Cricetulus griseus: one gene and its partners. The protein of the gene in region 5 purifies or fractionates together with the protein of the main gene of each other region. This does not show direct contact. Links are inferred from orthologs where the notes say so. Each region holds a gene or a part of one and is shown on either strand. Other genes may lie near its edges.

The links.
Region 1: the proteins of Rab7a (region 5) and Gdi1 purify together in Homo sapiens (affinity purification with mass spectrometry; 4 studies listed by BioGRID and IntAct, counting the BioPlex papers as one, with this or other methods). This does not show direct contact. The link is inferred for Cricetulus griseus from reciprocal best matches to the Homo sapiens genes RAB7A and GDI1.
Region 2: the proteins of Rab7a (region 5) and Arl8b purify together in Homo sapiens (affinity purification with mass spectrometry; 4 studies listed by BioGRID and IntAct, with this or other methods). This does not show direct contact. The link is inferred for Cricetulus griseus from reciprocal best matches to the Homo sapiens genes RAB7A and ARL8B.
Region 3: the proteins of Rab7a (region 5) and Vdac2 purify together in Homo sapiens (affinity purification with mass spectrometry; 3 studies listed by BioGRID and IntAct, with this or other methods). This does not show direct contact. The link is inferred for Cricetulus griseus from reciprocal best matches to the Homo sapiens genes RAB7A and VDAC2.
Region 4: the proteins of Rab7a (region 5) and Plekhm1 purify together in Homo sapiens (affinity purification with western blotting; 5 studies listed by BioGRID and IntAct, with this or other methods). This does not show direct contact. The link is inferred for Cricetulus griseus from reciprocal best matches to the Homo sapiens genes RAB7A and PLEKHM1.

What each region holds. Positions count from the first base shown.
Region 1 is NC_048604.1:1,416,052-1,421,166, forward strand, and holds the start of Gdi1 (rab GDP dissociation inhibitor alpha), read right to left. Parts: upstream 3,104-5,115; 5' UTR 2,843-3,103; coding exon 2,798-2,842; intron 2,639-2,797; exon of another isoform or gene 2,407-2,638; intron 1,767-2,406; coding exon 1,659-1,766; intron 1,506-1,658; coding exon 1,406-1,505; intron 1,248-1,405; coding exon 1,113-1,247; intron 685-1,112; coding exon 486-684; intron 230-485; coding exon 98-229; intron 1-97. Other genes in the region: Atp6ap1 (V-type proton ATPase subunit S1), read right to left, coding at 4,120-4,329, 4,540-4,768, 4,858-4,905. UniProt on the Homo sapiens protein: Regulates the GDP/GTP exchange reaction of most Rab proteins by inhibiting the dissociation of GDP from them, and the subsequent binding of GTP to them. Promotes the dissociation of GDP-bound Rab proteins from the membrane and inhibits their activation.
Region 2 is NC_048601.1:35,665,200-35,669,884, forward strand, and holds part of Arl8b (ADP-ribosylation factor-like protein 8B), read right to left. Parts: coding exon 4,670-4,685; intron 3,406-4,669; coding exon 3,332-3,405; intron 2,908-3,331; coding exon 2,814-2,907; intron 378-2,813; coding exon 310-377; intron 52-309; coding exon 1-51. UniProt on the Homo sapiens protein: Small GTPase which cycles between active GTP-bound and inactive GDP-bound states.
Region 3 is NW_023276807.1:199,144,650-199,149,334, reverse strand, and holds part of Vdac2 (voltage-dependent anion-selective channel protein 2), read left to right. Parts: intron 1-224; coding exon 225-274; intron 275-3,647; coding exon 3,648-3,800; intron 3,801-3,897; coding exon 3,898-3,950; intron 3,951-4,341; coding exon 4,342-4,569; intron 4,570-4,685. UniProt on the Homo sapiens protein: Non-selective voltage-gated ion channel that mediates the transport of anions and cations through the mitochondrion outer membrane and plasma membrane.
Region 4 is NC_048600.1:114,748,891-114,753,575, reverse strand, and holds part of Plekhm1 (pleckstrin homology domain-containing family M member 1), read right to left. Parts: intron 863-4,685; coding exon 615-862; intron 1-614. UniProt on the Homo sapiens protein: Acts as a multivalent adapter protein that regulates Rab7-dependent and HOPS complex-dependent fusion events in the endolysosomal system and couples autophagic and the endocytic trafficking pathways.
Region 5 is NC_048601.1:55,315,171-55,319,855, reverse strand, and holds part of Rab7a (ras-related protein Rab-7a), read right to left. Parts: intron 2,789-4,685; exon of another isoform or gene 1,934-2,788; coding exon 1,715-1,933; exon of another isoform or gene 798-1,714; coding exon 669-797; exon of another isoform or gene 403-668; intron 1-402.

The DNA of each region.
Region 1 (5,115 bases), on a different chromosome or scaffold from region 5:
TCCCAAATGCTGGGATTAAAGGCTTGTGCCACCACCACCAGGCTTATTGGTCTTAGTCATACCCACTAATGCCAGCTTGGGAAAAAAAGGTCCTCACCTTGCAAAGCCCTGGGGCAGCTCGCCCAGGCCATAGAGTGGGTACAAATATGGGCTCTTGCCATACCGGGCCAAGGACTCACTGTACAACTTGATACGGTTAATAGTCTCAAGACAGGGCTGATCCAGGTAGCTGGGGAACAAGAGAAGATGCTTTGACAGCAGCACTCCTGCTCACCTTCAAAGACACCATCCGCCTTCCCACCACCCTTTGTGACCTGGCAAAGATATGAGTCAAATGGAAGAGAGGGATGGAAATGCAACAGGTGAACTTATAGACAAGTACAAGAGATATGCAGGGTGGGCAGTGGATACAATAGGCAGGTGTGGGGAGGATAAAGTGTGAGGCAGACAAAGGGGCTCCTGCCACCAGCCAGCTTTCCCCTCACTCATCAGTGCGGTAGAGCGCCAAGGCATGGCCAGTGAAATCAATGACATCTTGGCCCAGATCAAACTTCCTGTAGACATCACGCATGCTGGTGGTCTGGGGGTCGACACCCTCAAAGGTTTTGGGGTCATTCTCATCAAAGTTTGCCACAAACACCAAGAATTTCCGGAAGCGTCGTTTTTCAAACATGCCCATCAGATCTGAAGGAAGGGTATTGAAAAGACTCTTTTTGTATTACTGGGACATAAAACTCTTCTTTCCACCAGAGCAGGCCAGGAAAGTTGGTGTCCTGGCTCCCACCAGAGCTCAGTCATGTAACCCTGCCCCACCCTTCTTGGCCTTAGTTTTCCTATTTGTAGGAAGAGGCACTCCTAGCTCCACTTGGGGATGCAATGGGGGTCAAGTAGGCCCTCTGCCAAAAAGAAATCCTCCTCAATGAGCTTCCTTTCTGGTAACTTGCCAGGATGGGTAGCACATTCCAATAAAGGTACTATAAAGCAAGGGGCCTCTGGTATTACATAGAGCTAAGATTAGGCTTAGGCAAATGGGAGCCTTTTGCCTAACTATCTTGAGAATAGTCTGCTTCCTCCTGTCCCATTATTCTCTGGCTAAGGAGACTCATACTTACTAGAAGCCAAGGCCTCAGTCTCAGTGGATGGTACTTTGTAGATCTTGCCTCCCTTGTATACAAAGCTGCCCTCAACCACCTTGAAGTCCAGATAACGAGTCACTTCTGTATACAGCAGCATCTTTACCAGCTGACCTGTGTCCAGAGAGGATTAGGGATGTCAGTGTAGCTCCCTTCAAAAATCTCTCAGTTGTCTGACTGACCTTATTCTGGAGCTTGAACCTCCCCTCTGGTCTTCCCAATCACCACCACCCACCAATCACCATATACATTATCTTCTTAATCTCCCTCACCATTGGCCATGAGAAATTTGGGGATCAAGTCAACATTCCAGTCTCGGCCCCGGCCCATTGACTCAGGGGGCCCTTCCAGCAACTGAAAACGTTTATATAGCTGTAAACAGGACAGAAAGAAAGAAAAATGTCAAGGACCACCTATCCCTCTCCCATTCTCCAGCCCAGCACCTGGGAACTACTTTGCCCCCATGCCCCTATGTGAGAGACTAAAAAGGGGTCTGGGTCTTAGCTCAAGTCCAAGAAGCCTTACCTCTTCCAGGGGTGTGATGGAAGAGCTCTCACCCCCATAGTAAGGGTTCCGGTCCATGTGCAGCACCTTCTTTCCATTCACAGACATGATGCCAGACAAGATGCATTCCTGGGGGAGGGGTGGCATTTGCAGCTACACTCCCATCTGCCTTCTGACCTGCATCCCTGGTTTGTCCCTGACTCAAACCCGACATAAATTTTGTAACATAAATCCCTGCCTCTTGTAGCACCTAAAACTGGAGAGAGGGGAAATGGCTTCATTCGATGTTTCCTTTATAACCCTGTTAGGCAAGACGGTGAAATGCCAGAGCATTAAATGAGGCTTAGGGAGGCAGAGCTTCCAGCAGACCCAAGGACAGTCTTCTAGTACCCACAAGCCAAGTAAGTATCTGCCTGCTCTGAGCCCACAAAAAGGTAACGAGTCTGGAGAAGAACCAATTCAAATGAAATCCCAGACCCCACCCTGGGCTGCTCCTCCTACAAAGGCAGGAGCCCCTGACCCTCCAGCCCTATCTACCGGTCCAGACTCAGGGTGCAAACCAACAACCAATCACTGTCACTAGCCCAAGGACAAAGGCAGAGGATATATTCAGCCTGAGATCTCCATGGGAAACCAGACTGGGGTAGAGGGAATGTCGTAACTACCCCCACTACTGCTGCTTCTGGAACATTCCCTGAATTACCGTCCCCTCTCAAAAGGCAAAAAGGCAGGATGAGAACCCACCCTTGGAATGCCCCCATACCCATACCTTTATACTCAATGCCCTAGTGTGATCACCACAAAATGGTAAGAGATGCTAATCAAGGATGCTAAGCAGGTGAAGGGTGGGGGCTGGGCACAACCGGTCCGGGGGGGGGGTAGTTTTCCACCTCGGTGACACAGATAGGGACGATGAAGGGGTCCTAGGGTGCAGGGATACAGGCTGAAACAGGGTCCTCTACGGGGAAGCAAGAAGATGGCAGCGCCGTCGAGTCGACATCCTAGGGTGAGGCAGTGGGGTGGGAGCGGGGTTGGCTTTGCCAGGACCAGAGCCAGGAAAGCAATGATGGGAGAATGAGACCGGTGACCAGGGCTCTGCATCACCGCGGGGGATGGGAAAGGCATGCTACAGGGCTATGAGTGCCTAGGGTGACACTTACGGTAAGACCTGTCCCCAGTACTATCACATCGTATTCCTCGTCCATGGTCAGGCCTTGGTACCAACGCCCGCTCGGCTCCTCCTCCTCCTTCACCACAGCAGCCACTGCCGCCGCCGCCGCTGCCACCGCACTGAACCAAAGATGGCGGCTATCAGTCGTCTCCAGATCCTTCCGCCGCGTCAAAGAGTCCCTCTCCCTCCTCGGGCCCTGCCACACCCTAGCGATGCCACCGTTTCTCCCGCTTATTTTCTGGAAGGGCTTCCAGCGCCTGAGTCTCCGCACCAGTACAATTTCGGGGGCAACGCAGATCTTCGCGAGCCCAGAGAAATGCGGGGCGGGGCGGGTCCGTGGCAGGTGCTGCGTCCCGCGAAGATCCATGCGCGGGAGCCGAGAGCGCCCCGCCCCGTCCCATCCCTCCTGGCGCGATCCCATACCGCCCCTCTGGGAGAAACAGCAAGGCCCTGTGGTATTTGCAGTTGCCTGTATCTTTCATTGTAAGGACTCTCCCCAAGGCCAGGAGAAATAATGGGCCTCTACCTTAACTCGTTAAGAGTATCAATCAGCTTGATGAAGACTCTCCCACCCTTCCCCTCTCACCTGTTAGGACTACACCTGGGCACTTCTTCCCCTCAGTCAAAAACAAATCTACTGTCAAGTGCAGAAATGAGTGACTCAAAGCCGAAGCCCAACACATATGACAACACGTCTTTATTTTATTAGGAAGGGAAACAAAAAGAGTACCCCCATCCCCATCTCTTGGCAGACAATCCTAGTGGGAATAAGCCTTGTGGAGGTCTCTTCTTTCTCAGGCTACAGAAATAAACCCCAGTGTACAGATCATTCTTAACATGTCACCCAAAAAACACAACAGCCAAGCTGGACAGACAGTTAAGTAGTCTTTCCATACATCTCAAACTCAAGGAACCTCAAGTTTATTGCTGTTGCTGGAAGATTCATAAAGCTTGGGGAGTGAGCATTAATTACACAGAAGCACTATAAACAGCAAGTAGCGGAGGGGCAAGAATAAATAAGGGGGAAAGGGAGAAAGGGAACCCTAGAATTAATGTTCCTTCCCCTCATGATGATGGAGCCTGGAAGATTTGTCTAATATCTATGAAGAATATATACACTTTGTTGGTAGAGATGGGGGATAGCCCCAGGGAAGCCAGTCCCTCAGTAGGTTGAAGAGGAAGCAAGACAGGCTGAGGGTACTGCAGGGTTCATGCTATCGAAGAGAAAAAAAACTTTCTATCCACTATGCCACAAGATGCAAACATGACAACCTAGACACCAACACTCCCTCAATCTCTCTCTGGCACAGGTCACACAATCTGTGTCAAAGTGATGGTGGGGCCCTTGTGGTCGTCAAAACGATCCATGGTCTTGAGGCTGAGTATCATGTGCAGGCCATAGGTGAAGATGAAAAGCATGAAGAGGGTGGTGAGCAGCCCCATCCAGATGCCTGGAGAGAAGAAGCCAGCACAGTCGCTAGCATAGGAGAACTGCTCACCCGTCACATTGAAGGCCTGGATCTAGGAGACACATAGACATGGATCAGAAGGGACCACAAGTTTCTACAGACAACAAGGGCTGGGGTTCTGGAATCAGTGAACAGTCTAGACCTTCAGAGACAGCATAAGGATGGAACTCTCAGCTACATGCTCAAGCCATACTGAAATTCTCTGGGCTCTTCTTCCCTCCCCCTACTGCCACCAGCTTGGAGCCCATTCCCCCTTTAATACCTGGAAGTCCTGAAGAGTCATCTGCCAGAGTGAGGGCACGTTGGTCACAAGGAGATTGCCTTTCTTGCTCAGACTGCTGACATACTCACAGTGGAAAGAATAGATGCTGGGTCCCGTGACTTGGGAAACATTGAAATGGGAAACAGAGCCATTGCTGTGGATTTCAAGTCGTTCCATAGTAAACCAGTATCGGGCAGACACTGGGTAGAAGCGACTAGCCAGAATGAACCTGGGAGGTGAGGGTAGCAGAGATTGTCAGATGAACAGAAGACAATGGAGACATACCAGCCAAGCCACACTTCAACCACCAGAACTTACTTGAATGTCACCATTGCACCAAAGAGTGGTTCATAGGTCAGTGAAAGCCTGTGGGACAAGGCAGAGGGGTGCTGTCAGGCTCTAGAAGGACCTAGAGTATGGTTCTCCTCAGGCTGGGTCCAATCTAAGCTGTCCTAAATCCATCCTTACAGTCACCTGCCAATACAGTGTCCCCATTTATCTGATGGGAAAACTAAGGCTCCAGTCATAAGCAAATCAGGAACAGTTGGGGGATCTGCACCTAGGTCCCAGATCTCC
Region 2 (4,685 bases), about 20 Mb from region 5:
CAAGAAATTGAATAGCAGCAAATTTCTCTATCCTGAATAGCAGACAGGTTCCTGTAAGAAACAGAAGTGATAAAAAATGACAGCAGCTGTCATACTTACTCTTTACTGGGTTTCACTTATTTTCATTACTATGCAAAAGAATATTTTCCCACTAATAAAATTTTAGAGATTTACATCTCTGGTTGCCCCAATTTATCCATCTAAGAACAAGGTAGAATCATTAATAAATAATGTAACCATGCCTACAAAATGTAGGACAGTCTATAATTTACCAACAAGCTTCTCAACATTACTCTTCTTAGGACCTACATTTTTTCAATTAGCTGTTTCTCATCCAAGGCATTTGGAAGATCTCTCTTGTTTCCAAGTACTAGTACCTTTAAAAAGAAGATAATATGGGTAAATCTTATGTACAAAAAAGATCACAGAAGCATAAGTAGTATATAAATATTCCAAAATTACCTTCATGTTAACATACACCTTAATTATAAAGTGTACTTGAGAAATATAAATAAATCAAAATATACTTGAGTGACTGGTAGCCAATTTTATTTATGAATTTATCCTAGTATTGCATAGCTCCTACAATAAAGGCAGCCGCAATTCAGTCTGTGGCCAACTTGAATTTAAAATATTCTAAGATACTCTAGGAGCTGAGAGATGGCTCAGTGTAGAAAGGCTAATGACCTGAGTTCAATCCCTAGGACACACACATGAACAATGAAATTCTCAAAAGAACTGATAGAAATATAGAAATATAGGAGAGAGAGAGAGAGAGAGAGAGAGAGAGAGAGAGAGAGAGAGAGAGAGGAGAGAGAGGTAGCTGAGTCAGAGAGAACTTCCTATTCTTTAAAACATGTCAAAGGCCTTCCACACAATCTTGTAAGTGTGGCCCCTAATATCCCAGCTACAGCTCAGTATGTCACCCAATCCAGCCATTCCCAAGGCTCTGTGTTCTGGAGACTGCTTCCTCCCACCAAAGGGCCTGTGCCTGGAACTATTCCTTACCAACCATCACATCCTGTACCACACTGCCACATGTCCTTCAGAGCTCCGTTCATACTTCACTGGCTCAGAGAGCCTTATTCCTTTACCTTGAACTACATAAATCTTTGCAACTCTTGAGGACTCTGCCCCTGTCTTAACACTGATTACCAAAGCTGCACTGTTAGATGCTTTTCCCCCCAAAAGTCTCTCTCCCCTGGCATGAAGTATTCTGGTAACTTCTGTCCATCACCATAGCCCCAGAACTGAGCACTGCTCTCACTACACAGTTTGGTGACTGTCTAGTGAAGGTATCTATAGACAGTACAATATCCAGGATCCAGCAAACACTGGACAAAAGTGACTCAGTTTTTAAGAACACACCCCAGAACTGGGGCTATTCTCCCACACACATCTTTAAATGAATATAGGACTTTTGCATGCTGGCCGAGAATTCACAGTAATACTCCCACCTCAGGCTTGCCAGCCCAGGGATCATAGCCAAAAGCAACCACAACCAGGTGAGACAAACAATTCTTTTTTTTTTTTTTTTTTTTTTTTTTTTTTTTTTTTTTTTTGTTTTTTTCGAGACAGGGTTTCCCTGTGGCTTTGGAGGCTGTCCTGGAACTAGCTCTTGTAGACCAGGCTGGTCTCGAACTCACAGAGATCCACCTGCCTCTGCCTCCCGAGTGTTGGGATTAAAGGCGTGCTCCACCAACGCCCAGCTGAGACAAACAATTCTTAACAAAAGTATTTCAAATAATTCATTATTTGTGAGGAAGTAGCAGAGAAAATCAGAAAGATAAAAATTCTATTCAATTGCTCAATTTCACAATGTTGGAGTCAAAGTACTCCTAACTTTAAAAAAAGAAGACATTTTGCTAATTTCAAATATAATTAGTAGCTCTCTAGACCCACAGGCTCCATGTCCAACCAACTGCACATCAAAAACACATGGGAAGCCAGGCAGGAGACTCAGAACTTTAATTCTAGTGCTTGGGAACTGAGGTGGAAAGATAATCCAGTTTGAGGCCAGCCTAGCTATGCAGTAAGATGCAGGCCAGCCTGGGCTATACAGAGAAATCTATCTCAAAAAACAAAAATAAAGCTAAGTAAAAACATGGGAGGGGGGCTGTAACCTCACTGAGAATATATGTACAGTCTTCCCTTTGCTATCATTCCCTAAGCAGTACAGTCAAAAACTATTACAAAGCACTTCTGTTGTATTAAGTATTGTTAGTAATCTAAATATAATATAATTCAAAGCTCATGGAAGAATATGTAACTTGCATGTGAATACTATACCATTTTCCACAAAGAACCTGAGAAGCCAGGTATGGTAGCAGATTCCTATAATCCCAACACTTTGGAGGTTGACGCAACAGAATAACAAGTTTGAGGCCATCCCAGGCTATATCATGAAGCTTAATCTCAAAAAAAAAAAAAAAAAAAAAAAAAAAAAAGAAAATGAAAAAGATCTTGAGAATCATCAGATCTCCATTCTTGAGGGGCATAAGGATCCTAAAACCAAGACTGATTTGTAGGGAGACACCCTAGGCCCGCCCTGGGACAGGTACCAGGTGGACCCGGGACTCGCCCATAAGGGCGTGATTTAGGAAAGCCAAGGTGACGTAAGGGAGGCTTCTTAAAGACCGGCTCGTGGAGACCCGGGCCCCTTCTGTTCTGGCCGCGCTTGCTGGGTTCTATAACCTAGCTCTGGCCTGTGTTTTAGCCTGGTGTTTTCTTGAATAAAGAGACTTTAATCTTTACACTGGTTCAATGTTAAATATATAATTGCAAATACAAAATGCCAGATTCTCCAAACTTACTGGAATTCCTTGTAACTGTGGTTTATCTAGAAGATTATGGAGCTCATTTCGAGAGGCTTCTATCTTTTCACGATCTGCAGCATCTATCATGTAACTTAAAAAACAAAGAGATATCAACATGCCATCTCTATGAATCTCAATGAACTAGGATTATAGATCTTAAGGTTTCTTAATATTTACAATACTGAAACTGCTAATCAAAAGAAATTAAGTCCTACGTCAGCATGAATAAATGCTTTTAACTACATTATTCACAGACTAATTAGTAGATGCTATACTCAGGAAAACACACAGCACAGCACTCAGATGAATAAAGAAATCAATAAACAAAGCCCTTATTCTATGATTTTTTAAAAAAAATTCCATGTTAATGGAATTATACTGAGATATTGGCAAAGAATACAATTACTGTCAGATAATTATTAATCTACCTTTGGAAATATTAAAAAACAATTTTTTTCTTTCAAGACTAAACTGACAGACTAAAAGAAGGGGAAAAAAGCCCACCACCAACTTACACAATAGCATTTACTCCTCTGCAATACCGCTCCCACATGCTCCGGAACCGGGGTTGTCCTCCTATGTCCCAGATCTTTAATCAAAACAAGGCAATTCTTAATAAGAACATTACAAGGAGTCGTTGACAAAGGTACTACCAGAATTGGAGAACAGTCACAGGCATGTCAAATGTTATAGAGTCAGAGTACTCCTAAAGTCTCAAACCCAAACTCAATCTGTGAAATCTTGAGGCCCCTTCCCAACTTGAAATTCTAAATATGTGAATGCTGGATCTAAAATTTTGCTTGAGCAATGACTTGGTTAAATATGAGTGTGATAATTAATTACTACCCAATACATTTCTAATCATGGATATATACAACTTTAAAATAATAACAAATGTAACATCTACAAAAACATGCAACATTCAGACTTGGATGCCAAGACAAAAAAAAAAAAAAAAAAAAAAGTTCAGGACCTCCTAAACTTTAAGTGTGTCTTCTTACATTATTCTGTAAGTAACAGAGTCAACATTACTTCATTTGGAGTTCTCCATAATAATTTCACTATACTGCACGTGGCTACAAAACTAAGTTGTGGCTTTCTTTAAAGTAGTTTCCAACTTAAGCACTAACACTGGTAAAATGCATAGAGACACAGGTAAAAATTGAGAAGTGTCATCAGAAAAGCCATAGACAGAACTTGGCAAGCAGATCTGTCAACAAGAACTGGGTAAAATGTTCACACGTTCAGGCTAGAGGCAAACTCACAGGAATTACAGAATGAAAACCAGGGTAACAAGAAAAATTAAAATTCCCTATTATTCCTATAGTCCAGGAGTTAAAAAGAAATTATGGTAAAAATGAGTTGCACTTTTCCTAATCTAGTTTCAACTTTAGGCTTAATAATGAAGAAAGGAAAGAAACTGGATTACAGTATTTGCTACCACAAATATACTAAAAGGATACTACCATAAATAATTACCACCTTTCAATATACAACATTGCTCAGACTGAAGATGTGACTGTTATTGTCTGAATTCTCAAGATAACAAATGTCACTTCTACTAATCCACATGGTTAGTTGACTTTTATGGACACTAAGCTACATTTCAACTCTAAAACACTTTAACTTATCAGAAAACATAAATAACTGACTTTTGGAATAATCCAACCATTACTTGAGAATTATAAATAGCAGGTAAAACCAGAGGAATAGAAAATTCTTTGATTACAATTTAAATCAAGTATAAAGAGAGGGACAGGGCAATACATGCTATTTCTGCATCCATATATAACCACATAACACATATGAATACATAAACACATAAATGCATAGAGTATGAGAAGCTGACGTACCTTTATTGTGACGTTA
Region 3 (4,685 bases), on a different chromosome or scaffold from region 5:
TTTCTAGTCTCTAACATTTAAAAAGTGTCTTGGAAAGGGTGTGTCAGGAAGTGGAGCCAATTTCCTGCCAGCATGCTGGGCAGCTGACTGCTTTTAAGTGCCTTGCAGGTGCTAGGCATCGGTACATTTTTGTTCCTCTGGACATTTGAATTATTTTAAATGTAACATGAATAATGGGTATATATCTGCAGAATAGTCATGTCTTTGCTCTCTATTCTTTGAAGGCTTTGGGTTGGTAAAGCTGGATGTGAAAACAAAGTCATGCAGCGGTGTGGTAAGTGTCTAATAAGTTCTTGTAACTCTTTTAATTTTATTTTAAGATTTATTTATTTAATGTATAGAATGTTCTGTCTTCATGTATGCCTACAAGCCAGAAGAGGGCATTGGGTCTCATTATGGTTGTGAGCCACCATGTATTTGCTGGGGGTTTGAACCAGGGTCCTCTGGAAGAGTAGTCAATGCTCTTAACCTCTGAGCCATCTCTCCAGCCCCTAATTTCTTAGCCTATAAATGTCTATAGTTGTTTTGCCTTAAGGAGGCAGAAGTTAATTTGTTTTGAGTGATTTGCATGTAATCTGATTTATTAGCTTTGGATATTTCTGCTTTTCATGTAGTTTTGTTATATTTGTGTGTGTGTGTGTGTGTGTGTGTGTGTGTGTGTGTTACTATGATTGTACAAAGAAGTGGGGAAAGACATTGGTTATTTGGGACTATTTACTCAGGTAGATTACAAGCTTGAAGGCCAGAAGCTTATAATCCACGCCCTTGTAACTTTCTCCTAATACCTGCCAAGGTATTCTGGGCTTAATAGTAACTTGTTTATTTGACCATACTGGTCATTTAATATAATGGCTATATTCTAACAGTCATCCATGGAGATGTCTACATACCTCTGTCCTGACCTGAATATTGCTTATGCGTTTATCCTCCCCAGTTGTTGAAACAAGGGATAAAGTAAAATATTGTATGCTTTTTTTTCTTTCTCTAATAATTTTTGTTTTGAGATTCAGAGATGGTTGTATTGTGTACATGCTAAACTATGATTATTGGGCACTGTGATAAATGCATGTTCTGAATATAACTAGTATTAAAGTTGTTCCTGGTAGGGATTCTTAATGGTCAGACCTGTTGCATTTATGGGGTTTTATATTGTTCTGTCCTGTGGTTTCCTTGGTTTGCAAAGAAGCTAAATATTTGGTGATGGTTGACTTGGCTGGGTTAAGAGTTTACAGAATATTAGTTAGCTGATTGCTGGAGATTGAAACTAGAGCCTTGTAGTTCTACTACTAATCTCTATTTTCATCCTACCAGGTTTTAAATATGTTTGTGCAGGTGTGTTACATTAAAATAAGTACCCCATCCTTGTTTTTAAAAAGCTTACTTTTAGACTGGGAGTATAACTTAGTGGTAAAAGGCTTACCCAGTTGTGTATGAGGTCCAGTGCGGAAAACAAACAAAACACCCCCTTCTAGTTACAAAGACAAACTTTAAGCTGAGAACAATTGGAGAACTGTATTGAGCACTAGATTTATAGATTTATAAGCAAAACATCCTTTTTTTCCTCCTGCCTCCCTAGTGCTGGGATTAACAGTGTGCACCACTACCACCACCACCACCACCACCACCACCACCACCACCACCACCCAGTGGCCCTTTTCTTTCTTGAATTGCAGAGATGTTCAGGCTACCCCAAAATGTAGAAGAAGTTCATAGTGATGGAGTGAATTGCTTTATTGTTGGTTTCATCTGTTCCAGTTTGACCTACAGACTAATACTGACCTTGTTTCTTGGGTATTTGTTGGCATTCATTAGACTAGCCCTTGATCTCAGGGACTGATGGGTGGTAGTAGCTGGAGCTTGGCAGTTTCTGATTTTAACTCTGCAGGTATCATAACTTCTGATAAACTTAAAACAAAATTTACATCAATTTTAGACATGGCTTTCCAGTGACTAGGTATGGAGACACTGATACAGAAACCCTAGGTCAGAACTCTTGACAGGCTTCTGGAAGGTTACATTTTATCTTGGGACACGTCCCTCACATGCAGTGAGTGCTTCATAAAGACAGATCCTCTGTGCTCCCTTTTTACCACAAGGGATTGGCAGATATATTCTATACAAATCCATGATTAAAACTTTTCTTAAAGATTTATTTTTAATTAAAGATGTTTTTATTTCACATGTATGAGTGTTTGCCTGTATGTCTGTTTGCCTGGTGCCTGTGGTGTCAGTTTTCCTAGAACTGGAGTTATAGATGGTTATAACTTGCCATGTGGATGCTGGGAACCAAATTTGGGTCCTCTGTAAGAGCAGCAAGTGTGTTTACTCACTGGCTGCTTTTCCGGTTCAAGGCTAAGCTTTCTATAGTACTTCCGAATTAATTCTGTTTTTTTTTTTTTTTTTTTTTTTTCCTGCTGACACATAGTTTATATTATTTATGATAAAACCCAAGAAGCTCCCCTACTCCACTTTTTTTTCCTCTTTTTTTGAGACAGGGTTTCTCTGTAGCTTTGGAGGCTGTCCGGGAACTTGCTCAGTAGACCAGGCTGGCCTTGAACTCACAGAGATCCGCCTGTCTCTGCCTCCTGAGTGCTGGAATTAAAGGCATGCACCACCACTGCCAGGCTAAAAAACTTATTTTTATTTTATGTGTATGGTTGTTTTTTTGCCTGCATGCGTATCTGTACCATGTGTGTGCAGTACCCACAGAGGCCAGAAGAGGGTGGTGGATACTCTGAATTGGAGTTACAGACTGTTAGTTGCCTTGTGGGTGCTAGCAATCAAACCTGAGTCCTCTGCAAGAGGAACAGCTCCTCTTAACTACTGAGAGCCATCTCTCCTGTCCCACGAAAATACTGTGAGTTGGGTGAGGTGTGGCAACACACACCTTTAATCCCAGCACTAGGGAGGCAGAGGAAGGCAGATCAGGCCGGCCTGGTCTATAAAGGACAGCCAGGGCCACATAATTGAGACAGACAACAACAAACAGCAAAAAGAAGATAGGTAAGTTGTTTGGAAGGGCATGGAACCTAGTGAAGACTCATTTCAGAAAAGTAGAGGGAGGACTGGAGAGATAGATGGTTCAGCATAAGCGTGGGTGCCCCTCTTGTAGAGGCCCTTCCTAACCACCCACATGACGGCTCACAGCCACCTGTAACTTCAGCGGCAGGGAAGTCAGACGACTCTGGTCTTTAGGACATCTGCACTGAATATTCATTCACATACATATGCAAATGAAAAATTCTTTAAAAAGGAAAAAAGAAGGAATATTGGGATAGTTGAGCCCAGATTTTACTTAAAATTTTTCACATCTTGTGTGTGTCATGGTGTAGATGTGGAGGTGAGAGGACAGCTTGGAAGACTCAACTCCTCTTCCTACCATGTGGGCTTTAGAGACGGAAGTTAGGTTGTCAGGCTTGGTTAAACCCAGTGAGCCATCTCACCAGCCCCGTGCGCTTAATCTTTATTGATTAGTTAGAAATGTAAGATGGCATTCTAGTGAGGTCAGTCAGTCCGTCAGGCTAATTTGTCACTGTTGAGTTTGCTTAGGAAGTAGCACAGTGTGAAGTTAGAAGTGTCAAATAAGTTAGGCAGTGGATTGTTCCAGGCTTAGCAGACATTCATGAAGTTGTTTATTGTCTTCTTAGGAATTTTCAACATCTGGTTCATCTAATACGGACACTGGTAAAGTCAGTGGGACCTTGGAGACCAAATATAAATGGTGTGAGTATGGTCTGACTTTCACAGAAAAATGGAACACCGATAACACTCTGGGGACAGAGATTGCAATTGAAGATCAGGTAGTGTTTCATAGACTTGCTTTTGTGTCCTTTTTGCATTTCAAAAAGGAAATAAAATGGAACATAAATCTTATATGCTCTTTTTCTCCCAAAATAGATATGCCAAGGTTTGAAGCTGACGTTTGATACTACCTTTTCACCAAACACAGGGTAAGCACTTATGTTTTTACAGGCACTGAACCTGAAGCAGTCTTGTCTGCTCAGAAGAGAAGCAGCTTCCTCCCTTTCAGTAGTTCACTGCGGAGGCCACTATCTGCTTTTGAACACTGCTTGCCACCATTGACTTTCTTCAGAAATTGGCCTCTTCTAGTGCTAATTGTGTCCTATCTTTTGCGACTGTTAGTTTTACAAAGCACTTTTCCTATGATGGGACAGTCCTGTCACCCCATGTGGGTTTGTTTTCTTTAACTTTTTGGTTGTTTTTAACGCTAAAATTGTCATACTGTGGCTTGTTTAAATCCGTCTCATGCTCACCAGGTAGAGCTAGGTATATAAACTTTGTCACTGGTATCAGTTTCAAACCAGTCTCTCCTTTTTTCAGAAAGAAAAGTGGTAAAATCAAGTCTGCTTACAAGAGGGAGTGTATAAACCTTGGCTGTGATGTTGACTTTGATTTTGCTGGACCTGCCATCCATGGCTCAGCTGTCTTTGGTTACGAGGGCTGGCTTGCTGGGTACCAGATGACCTTTGACAGTGCCAAGTCAAAGCTGACTAGGAGTAACTTTGCAGTGGGCTACAGGACTGGGGACTTCCAACTACATACTAATGTGTAAGTATTTCTCTATAGGCTTTCAGGGTGGTATCTGATGTCATTTCTTAGATCTATTTTTAATTTAAAGGGTATCTGACATGTGGTAGTTCTAAGTGCTCCTCAGTAGCATATAG
Region 4 (4,685 bases), on a different chromosome or scaffold from region 5:
GGCTTCTTAGCTAAATGCCTGACACAATTCAGTATGAGTATAAAGTTTAAAACAAGAAATGGAGAAATGGCTCACTGGTTAACAGCACTGGCTACTTTTGCAGGGACCCAAGTCTGATTCCCAACACCCACATGGTGGCTTGGTCACCTCTAGCTCCAGTCCCAGGGGATCTGGCACCCTCTTTTGGCGTGTGTGCCCTGCACCAGGCACATACATGGTATGTATAGATATGAATGTATGAGTGGGGAAACACTCATACACAAAAATTTTTTTAAATTAAATTTAGATGATAGAAAAATTAGTCAAAGGCAAGGTCAGCAAACCCTGGTCCTGTTAAAAGGACCAGAGAACATTTTGGTCTTTTCAAGCCTCACAATGTAATACATGACTCAGCCTACCGTAGTCAAAGGTCAACAGTGCCGGGGTGAGGAGCAGCCACAGGCTCTTAATGAGTGTGGAGTGTCTCAAGGTCTGGAGATAAGCTTTTCTATAAGGCTGCCTCCAGCCCTACCTCACACACTGCCTACACTAGAACACTGTTTTCTGGCTTTGCCATCCTCAAGAGAGTCGAGTGCCCCGCACTTGAAGCCCTTCCCTGATGCCAACCCTCTCACTTGTGGGTGACAGCCTTCAGAAGGGGCCAGAAAACAGGCTGAGGCAGAGGCTTCTGATGCGTGTGCTTCTTCCTTTTTCCTCCCGCCTCGGCACGGATGTGCTTGGCATGTAGGCCGTGGATAAACACGGCCTCCAGGGCACTGCACATGGTGTTGGCATCTCCATCTTCACTGGTGACCACTGTGTCCAGAGACACATGCTGCTTCTGCAGGGCCTTCACAGATCCCACTAGCTTCTTCTTGATGACCTAAGTGGAGTCAATCAAACGCACAGTCAGACTTTAGGGGTAAATCCTATATGAAGTCTGTAGAATGTAGTCCATGGCCTGTTTTTCAATGTGTGTAACCACATACACACCTTTATAGAGAACCCAAGACTCCTGCAAAGCTAGCTACTATGGCAAGTGAAGATCCAGCACACAGAGAAATGGTTTTGCACATAGTTTTTAAAAATCAGATTTATTAATTTTATTTTATGTATGAGTGTTTGGCTGACATGTATGTATGTGTACCACATGAGTGCTTGGTGTCTGAGGTTAGAAGAGGCTATCAAATCCCCTGAAACTGGAGTTACAGATGGTTGTGATGCTAAGAATTGAACCCAGGTCCTCTTTAAAAACAAGAGCTTTTAACCACAGAAGCATCTCTCAACCCCCATCTTTATTTATTTATTTATTTATTTATTTATTTATTTATTTATTTTTTAATGAAACTTTAGTCTTATATTTAGATACCAGATCCATGTAATCACAGCTATCGCAGTTCAGGGGCATTCTGCAGAGATAAGCTAAAGAGGCAGAGAATATTTCTTCAACGCAAAACCCAAGAAAGAATTAGGGGGTGTGGCTCAAATGCTAAAGAGTATACTTAGCAGGCACAAGCCCCCGGTTAGACCCCCAACACAGTGGGGGTAAAGGTCAAGACCACAGATGCCTAATTACATTAGCTAAGGGCCCAGGCCTAGAGCCAAAGGCAGTACCAGCTCTGTTTGCAGACACTTTGCTTAACCTCTCTGAGCCTCAATTCCCTAAAGATTAAGTGGAAACAATGTTTTGTGATCTATAACCCTGGGACATTGCTTCTTCTTTCATATTTATTTATTTATTTATTTATTTATTTATTTATTTTGAGAAAGGGTTTCTGTAGAACTGGCTGTCCTGGAACTCATTCTGTAGACCGGGCTAACCTCAAATTCAGAGATCTGTTGTTGTTGTTATTATTATTATTTTCTGATAAAGGGTTTCTGTAGGCCTGGCTGCCTTGGACTCACTTTGTAAACCAGACTGGCCTCAAATTCAGAGATTATGTGAACCATCAAGCCCAGCAAGGGCCACTGACTGAGGGTAGAAATTGGGTTTCATTTCTCCCTGTGTCCCCAACAGTTGCCACTGTGCCTGGTACACATATAGAAGGTACGAATTACAAAATGTACATCAAGGGTTGTAGAAATTTAGCATAACATGTATATAATCATAATTATGAGTGTATTAAAGTCATATTAGTGCTAGCAAAGAACTAGATAGAACTGCAAAAAACTGGTTTGCAGCATGTGTTAAGTTATAGATAAACATTTCACTTTTATTTTGACTTAGTCTGAATAGTAAGTGTTCTTTGGAAAGTTGAATTTAAAAAAATCAATTAACAAATTATAATTCACATTAAATTCTCCCATTTAAACTACAAACTTCCCGGGGGTGGGGGGGTGGGGGGTGTTCTTTCTGTTGTTGGTTTTGGTCCTGCCCAGAAGTAACACATTCCTGAATTTTAGTAACTTTTACTTTCACTAATTTTTCTAAAAATTTATTGACACTGAGCATGGTGGCACACATTTTAATCTCAACACTCAGGAGGCAGAAGCAGATTTCTTGAAGCCAGGGCTACACAGTGAGACTCTGTCTCAAATCAAACAAACAAAAAAGATTTATTTACAATGGCTGTTGAGAGGAGAATCAGTCTTCTACAGGGATGAGCACTAATAGGCTATCCATTCCCATATGCAAAAGAGCAATACTAAATGAGCTTAGTAGATAGTATACACAAAAGCAGAAAATGTGGCCTGGCAATGATAGTACATGACTTTAATTCCAGCATGTGGGAGGCAGAGGCAGGTGACCTCTGAGTTTGAGGCCAGGCTGGTCTACAGAGTGAGTTCTAGGACAGCCAGGTTACATAGAGTGACTGTTTCAAAAAAAAAAAAAAAAAAGGAAAAAAAGGAAGGAGGGAAGGAAGGGAGAAAAAAAAGAGCAGTGAGTGTCCTTAACTGCTGGGCCATCTTTCTAGCATTCTATTTATATTTTTATCATCACTTTAATCATAGGTATATTCCTAAACAAACAATACCAAAACCTGATGGTTTTATTGTATTTATTCTGTCTAGAGTTCACTGAATTTCTTTGAACTGAAGATTTAAAGTTAATGAAATGTAGAAAGTTCTGGAAAAGGAAGTAAAGCACAGTGGTTTTTAGTATACTCAGAGAATGGTGCAACGTTTACCATTAGCTAATTTTAGAACATTTTAACACCACTGAAGGAAAGTGTGTATCAGTGGCTGGGAGTGGGGTGGAGTGGCTGTAGGATAATCTATTTTGTGCCTGTACAGATTTATCTATTCTGGATATTTCAAAGAAGTGGAAACATACAACATGTGACTTTGAGTATAGATTCTTTGACTTGGCATTTTTTCAAGTTTTATCTATATTATAGCACATATCAGTATTTAATTCCTTTTTACAATCAAGTATACCATGCTTTATCTGGTCATTCATAAGAAAATGAACACCTGGCTTGTTCCCACTTTTTGAGAATAGTGCTGCTCTGAATGCTTGTCTTCACCTTTTTATGCAGACATGCTTCCAGGTCTAGAATTGATAAGACACAGAGTTGGCCCGATGGCACAGGCTTGCAGTCCTGACACTTAAAAGCTGAGGACTTTCATGTGAGTTTGGAGGCCATCTTGATAGTAAGTTGCAGGTCAACCTAAACTACAAAGTAAAACCTGCCTGAAAAGCCAAAGAATTGTTAAATCACACAAAACCTATGCTCCCTATGACAGGCTGGGGTAGAGCAATGCCTCCATTTGTGGGATCTTGTATTTCATCCCCAACACCAAAAAGAAAAGAAATAAAAAAACCCTAAAAGCTCTATTTAAGTTTTCTATGAAACACTAAGTTGTTTGCCCAAGTAACCACTATTTTACACTAACAACGACACTTGCTATTGTCATTCTGATTACAGCCACCCAAATGGCGTGAAGTAGCACCTGACCGAGGCTTTCCTTTACATTTCTCCGGGTCTAACAGTAATACGAATTACTTTGTGTGCTTATTGGTCATCTGTGTATCTTTTTTGGAGAAATCTTTTGTCCACTGTACAACCTGTTTTTATGTGTGGTGTGTGTGCTTATATGTGTCAGTATATGTAGGTGAGTGCCCACGTGTGTGGAGGCAAGAGGTCAATGGTGAGTGTCTTAGTCATTCTATACATTATTCTTATAGGTCTCTTATTGAACCTAAGCTCATCAATTCATGGGCTACCTGATCAATGAACTCTGAGGATTTGTCAGCCCTTACCCTCCCCCCTGGGATTACAGACATAGGCTGCCAGGACTGGCTTTTACGTGGGTTCTGGAGATCTAAACTCAGGGCTTTATGCCAGCACACACTACTGAACAGCCATCTCCAAGCCCCCAGATTATCTTTTAATTGCTGGGTTGAAGTAGTTTTCTATATATTTTAGCTACTAGACCTTTATCAGAGATAATACCTTCTCTTTTTTTGTGGACTGTATCTTTTCATCTTTCCCTCAACACTTTATGAATAGTGTCCTTTGAAGCAAAGATTTTAATCTTGGAGTTGAATTTTAAATGCTATTTTAAATATATTATTAGATTGTATAAAAGCATAAACTATTTCCAACTGAGTGCCTATCAGGTGCTGTGTCAGGGAATGCAGGTAACCAGACACCTCAAGGGGTGGATCTGTGCAGCTCTTGCTAGGAGACCAGGGATCTGCTCTAGCTCCAGAGGGCCCAGGGTGGGACAGGGATAACTTGCAAAGGCCTAGCTGGAAGCCA
Region 5 (4,685 bases):
CTACTATGTTGTCCTAGCTAGCCTTGAATTTGCCATGCTGTCTCAGCTTCCTCCCCTGGCACACAGTATCTTCTCTAGAGGAGGGTAGCTGAAAGCTCTGAGTTCCCTGACGGTTTTCTTTTTATTTCTTATTTGTGTATATAAGTAACTACTCTCAGGAAAGTGCCACTTCATGGTTTGAGAGCTGAGTCAGGGGACCACCATCACGCTACATATGGCCTTGCTTGAGGTGGGGGGCAGAAGCTCAGACACGGCTAGATGGCAGCTGGGATCTGACTGAAGTTCATCTCATTAACTAGAAGCATTGCTTGGCAAGAGGCCTCAGGTGGCTTGATCTCCTAAAAGTCCAGGAGCAAACAAGCCCACACCTCTTTCACCATGTGTCTGTTTTGTTCCCCCAAGGTCTTCCATGTCTGAGACCAGGCTGCCTGGAAGGCTCTGTATCTTAGGTAAGTGTTTTATCACCAAGCCATACCCTAGCTCTGCCCTGTCTTTTAGATGACTAACAAAGCTGTGATCTCCTAAGGACGGAGGCAGAATATGTTATGACCTACCCATCTGGAGAAGCACCTTACGTTTTCCCAGGTGCAGCTTGGGAAGAAAAACATCTAGGAAAGAACACAGGACATCACCAGAGTGTGCCTGCAGCTGCAGAGCCCTGCACCCACCTGTTTAAGGGCATTCCGAGCAATTGTCTGGAAGGCCTGCTCCACATTGATGGCTTCCTTGGCACTGGTCTCAAAGTAGGGAATGTTGTTTTTGCTGTAGCACCAAGCCTGTGCCCTCTTTGTGGCCACCTACAGGAGGGAGGACATTACTGCCATGAACAGCTCCAAGACAAGTACACTGGTGAGAACAGATCTGGGGGTGAGGATGAGTGTGGCCTATAGACCCAAAGGTCGGGTCACTCTGTTGTCCATGTGAGGGATCCAAGCTTGAGCTATTTTGGTCCACAGCCAGACCTTATGGCCCTTAGCAGTGTGCCACAGGCCAGGAGCCAATCCCAGGAGGTGGAAGGTGGGTCCATGACAATCTCTGGTATATACCCCTTTCCACTTGCTCATCTTGAGCCACCTAAAGAAATGGCAAGTGGCACGGATTTTGCAGCGCTCACCCTTAGATCTTTCCTTCCCTTGCCCCAGCCAAGAAACAGAGACAAAATCTGGAAAGGGGAAGAGATAGTCAGAAATAAGCTGACCTAAAAATTAACAAAACCGTGCCGGGTGTTGGTGGCGCATGCCTTTAATCCCAGCACTTGGGAGGCAGAGGCAGGAGGATCTCTGTGAGTTCAAGACCAGTCTGGTCTCCAGAGCGAGTGCCAGGATAGGCTCTAAAGCTTCACAGAGAAACCCTGTCTTGAAAAACCAAAAAAAAAAAAACAACAACAAAACAACAACAACAACAACAACAACAACAACACAACATGTTCCAACAGAAATGCTGTGTGAAATCACAGCTGAGCAACACGACTCAAGGCCCACAGCATTCTTCCATCCTGAAGTGAGAAAATCAATTCCTTCCTTTAAGGGACAGGAAGGGAATTGAGGCTCTGAGAAAAAGACAGCCCCACATCAAAGCTGGCTGGGGTCAGCTGGTGACAAGTACTCCCACCAGCACCTTCCCAAAGTATTCTGAGTCTGGAAGAGAACCCTCCAAACTCAAGGTACCAGAGGAGGAGGGGCCTGTGAATGTTAACTCCCATGTTAGCACTTACTTGTCTGTTTTCAAGGTCAATCTTGTTTCCCAATACAACAAAAGGAAAGTTCTCAGGATCCCGGGGGCTGGCTTGGATAAGAAACTCGTCTCTCCAGCTGTCAAGGGTTTTGAATGTGTTAGGGGCAGTCACATCAAACACCAGAACACAGCAATCTGCACCTCTGTAGAAGGCCACACCAAGAGACTGGAACCGTTCTTGACCAGCTGTGTCCCAGATCTGCAAGAAGAAAAACACCTAGTCTTCAGGAGGTGCTGGGCAGTGTGGGGTGTGTGTGGGGTGTTGTGTGCACATGTATGGGACTGTGGCAAGAAACGCCTCTATCTACTCCCAGGTATGTGCTCAGAACATGAAGAAGGTACACTTATGTATTCTGGGAACTTTCTAAGGGCTTGATTATTGTGCTTTATTTATTTGAGTGTTCTATGTAGCCACATAGGCCTTGGACTTGCAATCCTTCTGCCTCAGCTTGGTGTTGAGATTACAGGTATGCATTACCACAAGCTTTTCTAGAGGTAGTAGAAATAAAACATTAGTGACTAAAATGAGTATTTCTACCAATGGATTTTGAACAATGTCATTTCTTTAATTAAAAAAGTTGTTTTTGTTCTTAATTTAAAACAAAAGCAAAATTAATTAAAAACCCTTACAAAAAGATCTGGAGAGACAAGAACAACAGAGTAGAAGCTAGCAACAGGTCCCACTGGTTCAGAACAAATACTGTCCTATATGGCCATGTTTAATTTAGGTTCAAATGGTATAAGGAATTCAGAAAAAAAAGAACAAGAACTCAAGCTGAAAATTGGGGCATTATTCCCAGCAAGTTTCTAAATCGACCTTAGCTTCAAACTTACAAAAGTACATTTCATATTTGTCAACTATTAGAACAAAAAAATACAACCCTATGTCAAATGGTCCTTTTAAATTTTCTAACTGAATGTTTTTGGAAGGTAGTGGTAGGAGCAGCACACAGGGCATTTCGAACTCCGAGCAAGCTCTACTGCTCCTTTATATAGACTCCGAAATGAATCAATGTATTTGATTTAATGTGGTCTAATAAATCCTGATCTTTTATGATTTGTTCTTGCTTCACTTTAAATATCAAAGGTCAAAAACAGCCTCTACTTTCCATTTGAACATTTTTATATTTTATGTTTTTCTCATCTTACTCAGATCCTGAGTACACTAGCTACTCTACTTGAAAGTTCTGCTCCAGCCTCAGTAAGAACTCTGAGGGAGAGTTCCTAGTAAGGTCCTATGCTTATGTCCCTTGGGCCTTCTGTGTGTCTGTGCCAACACCACTGCTCCAGTGATTTCAGTTTACCAAGTTCCTGAATGTTCATGCACACCTGACTTGTAGCTTCTTCCTCAACAGTATCACAAATGTAAATGGTAAAACACAGCCACCACTACTCTTCCACGGGACATTACATTTCATAACTCCATGGTTATGAAACTGGTTTCTTATAGCAGAACTCAAAGTGGGCCACACCTGAGGATCCAACTAACAGCAGACCACAACTTTAGTAGGCATTTATGGACTTCCCTCCTCATCATTGTTCCTAGACATAGCCTTAATAACTCCTTACATGGAATTAGGTCTTGTAAGTAATTTGGAGATTATTTAAAGATATATGGGAGGGTATCCTGTGGTGATACGTTGTTTATGAGCTAATAAAGCCTGCCTGGAAATCAGAATGCAAAGCTAGCCTCAGCCATGGAAACTGGGCAGTGGTGGCACACACCTTTAATTCCAAGACTCAATACAGAGGCAGATGGATCTCTGTGAGTTCAAGGCCACCCTGGGCTACAAGAGAGTGAATCAGTCTAAAAGAGAAACAGAGCTCAGGCCTTTAATCCCGGCTCTAGAGAGACTCTAAGGAGCCCAGTGCAGTCTCAGGAGCAGTCTGAGATGTGGTGAGGAGCAGTGCAGCAGAGCTCTCTGTTGGCTTGGCTGCTTTGCTTCTCTGGGTTTTTATTATTCATGTTTCAGTATCCTTACATTCTATGTAGACATGACAACTCAAAAATCATTTTTATTATAAAATTTATTTCTAATTTCAAATTTCATTATTTTCTTATTCTATGAGTGTTTTGCCTGCATGTATGTCTATATACCTCACATATGCCTGGTGTCCAAAGAGGCCAAAAGAGAGTATCTGATTCCCCAAGACGGAATTCAGGTGGTTGTGAATACCACAGTGCATGTGGAGATTCAAACCTGGGTCCTTTGGAAAAGAGCCAATGCTCTTAAACATTTCACCATCGCACCAGCCCATACTGAACTTCAATTTACTCTGTAGGTGAAGGTGGCCTTAAACTTCTGATCCTCCTGCCTACAGCTGCCGAGTGCTGGGATGACAGGCAAGCACCAACACACTCAGTTTTATGTTGTGCTGGGGAATGAATCCAGGATTATATGCTATGTTGTGGACAATTAACATGTGTTACATGATTTAAGCATTGGAACATTTGTTTAATGAAGCAAAGATGTGTTGTATTCTCTCTTGTTTGTTTGTTTGTTTGTTTTTTGGTTTTTTGAGACAGGGTTTCTCTGTGGCTTTGGAGGCTGTCCTGGAACTAGCTCTTGTAGCCCAGGCAGGTCTCAAACTCAGAGATCCGCCTGCCTCTGCCTCCCGAATGTGTGTTGTATTCTTTTATGCTGCATTTGCTTAACTCTGTGAAGCTGTGTTACTTTGCTTATCCAAAACACCTGATTGGTCTAATTAAGAGCTGAATGGCCAACAGCAAGGCAGGAGGGAGAAATAAGCCAAGCTGGCAGGGGGAGAGAATAAAAAGAAGATTAGAGGAAGATCAAGGAACTAGAGAAGGGGAGAACAAAGAAGGTGCCAGCCATGGAGTGAAGCAAGAATACAGAAGAAAAGGAATAAGACCAGAGGCTTTGTGTGTGTGATTTATTTATGAGCTGGGTAGCGGCCCCCCAAAAGAGTAAAAACATCTAAAATGCAAG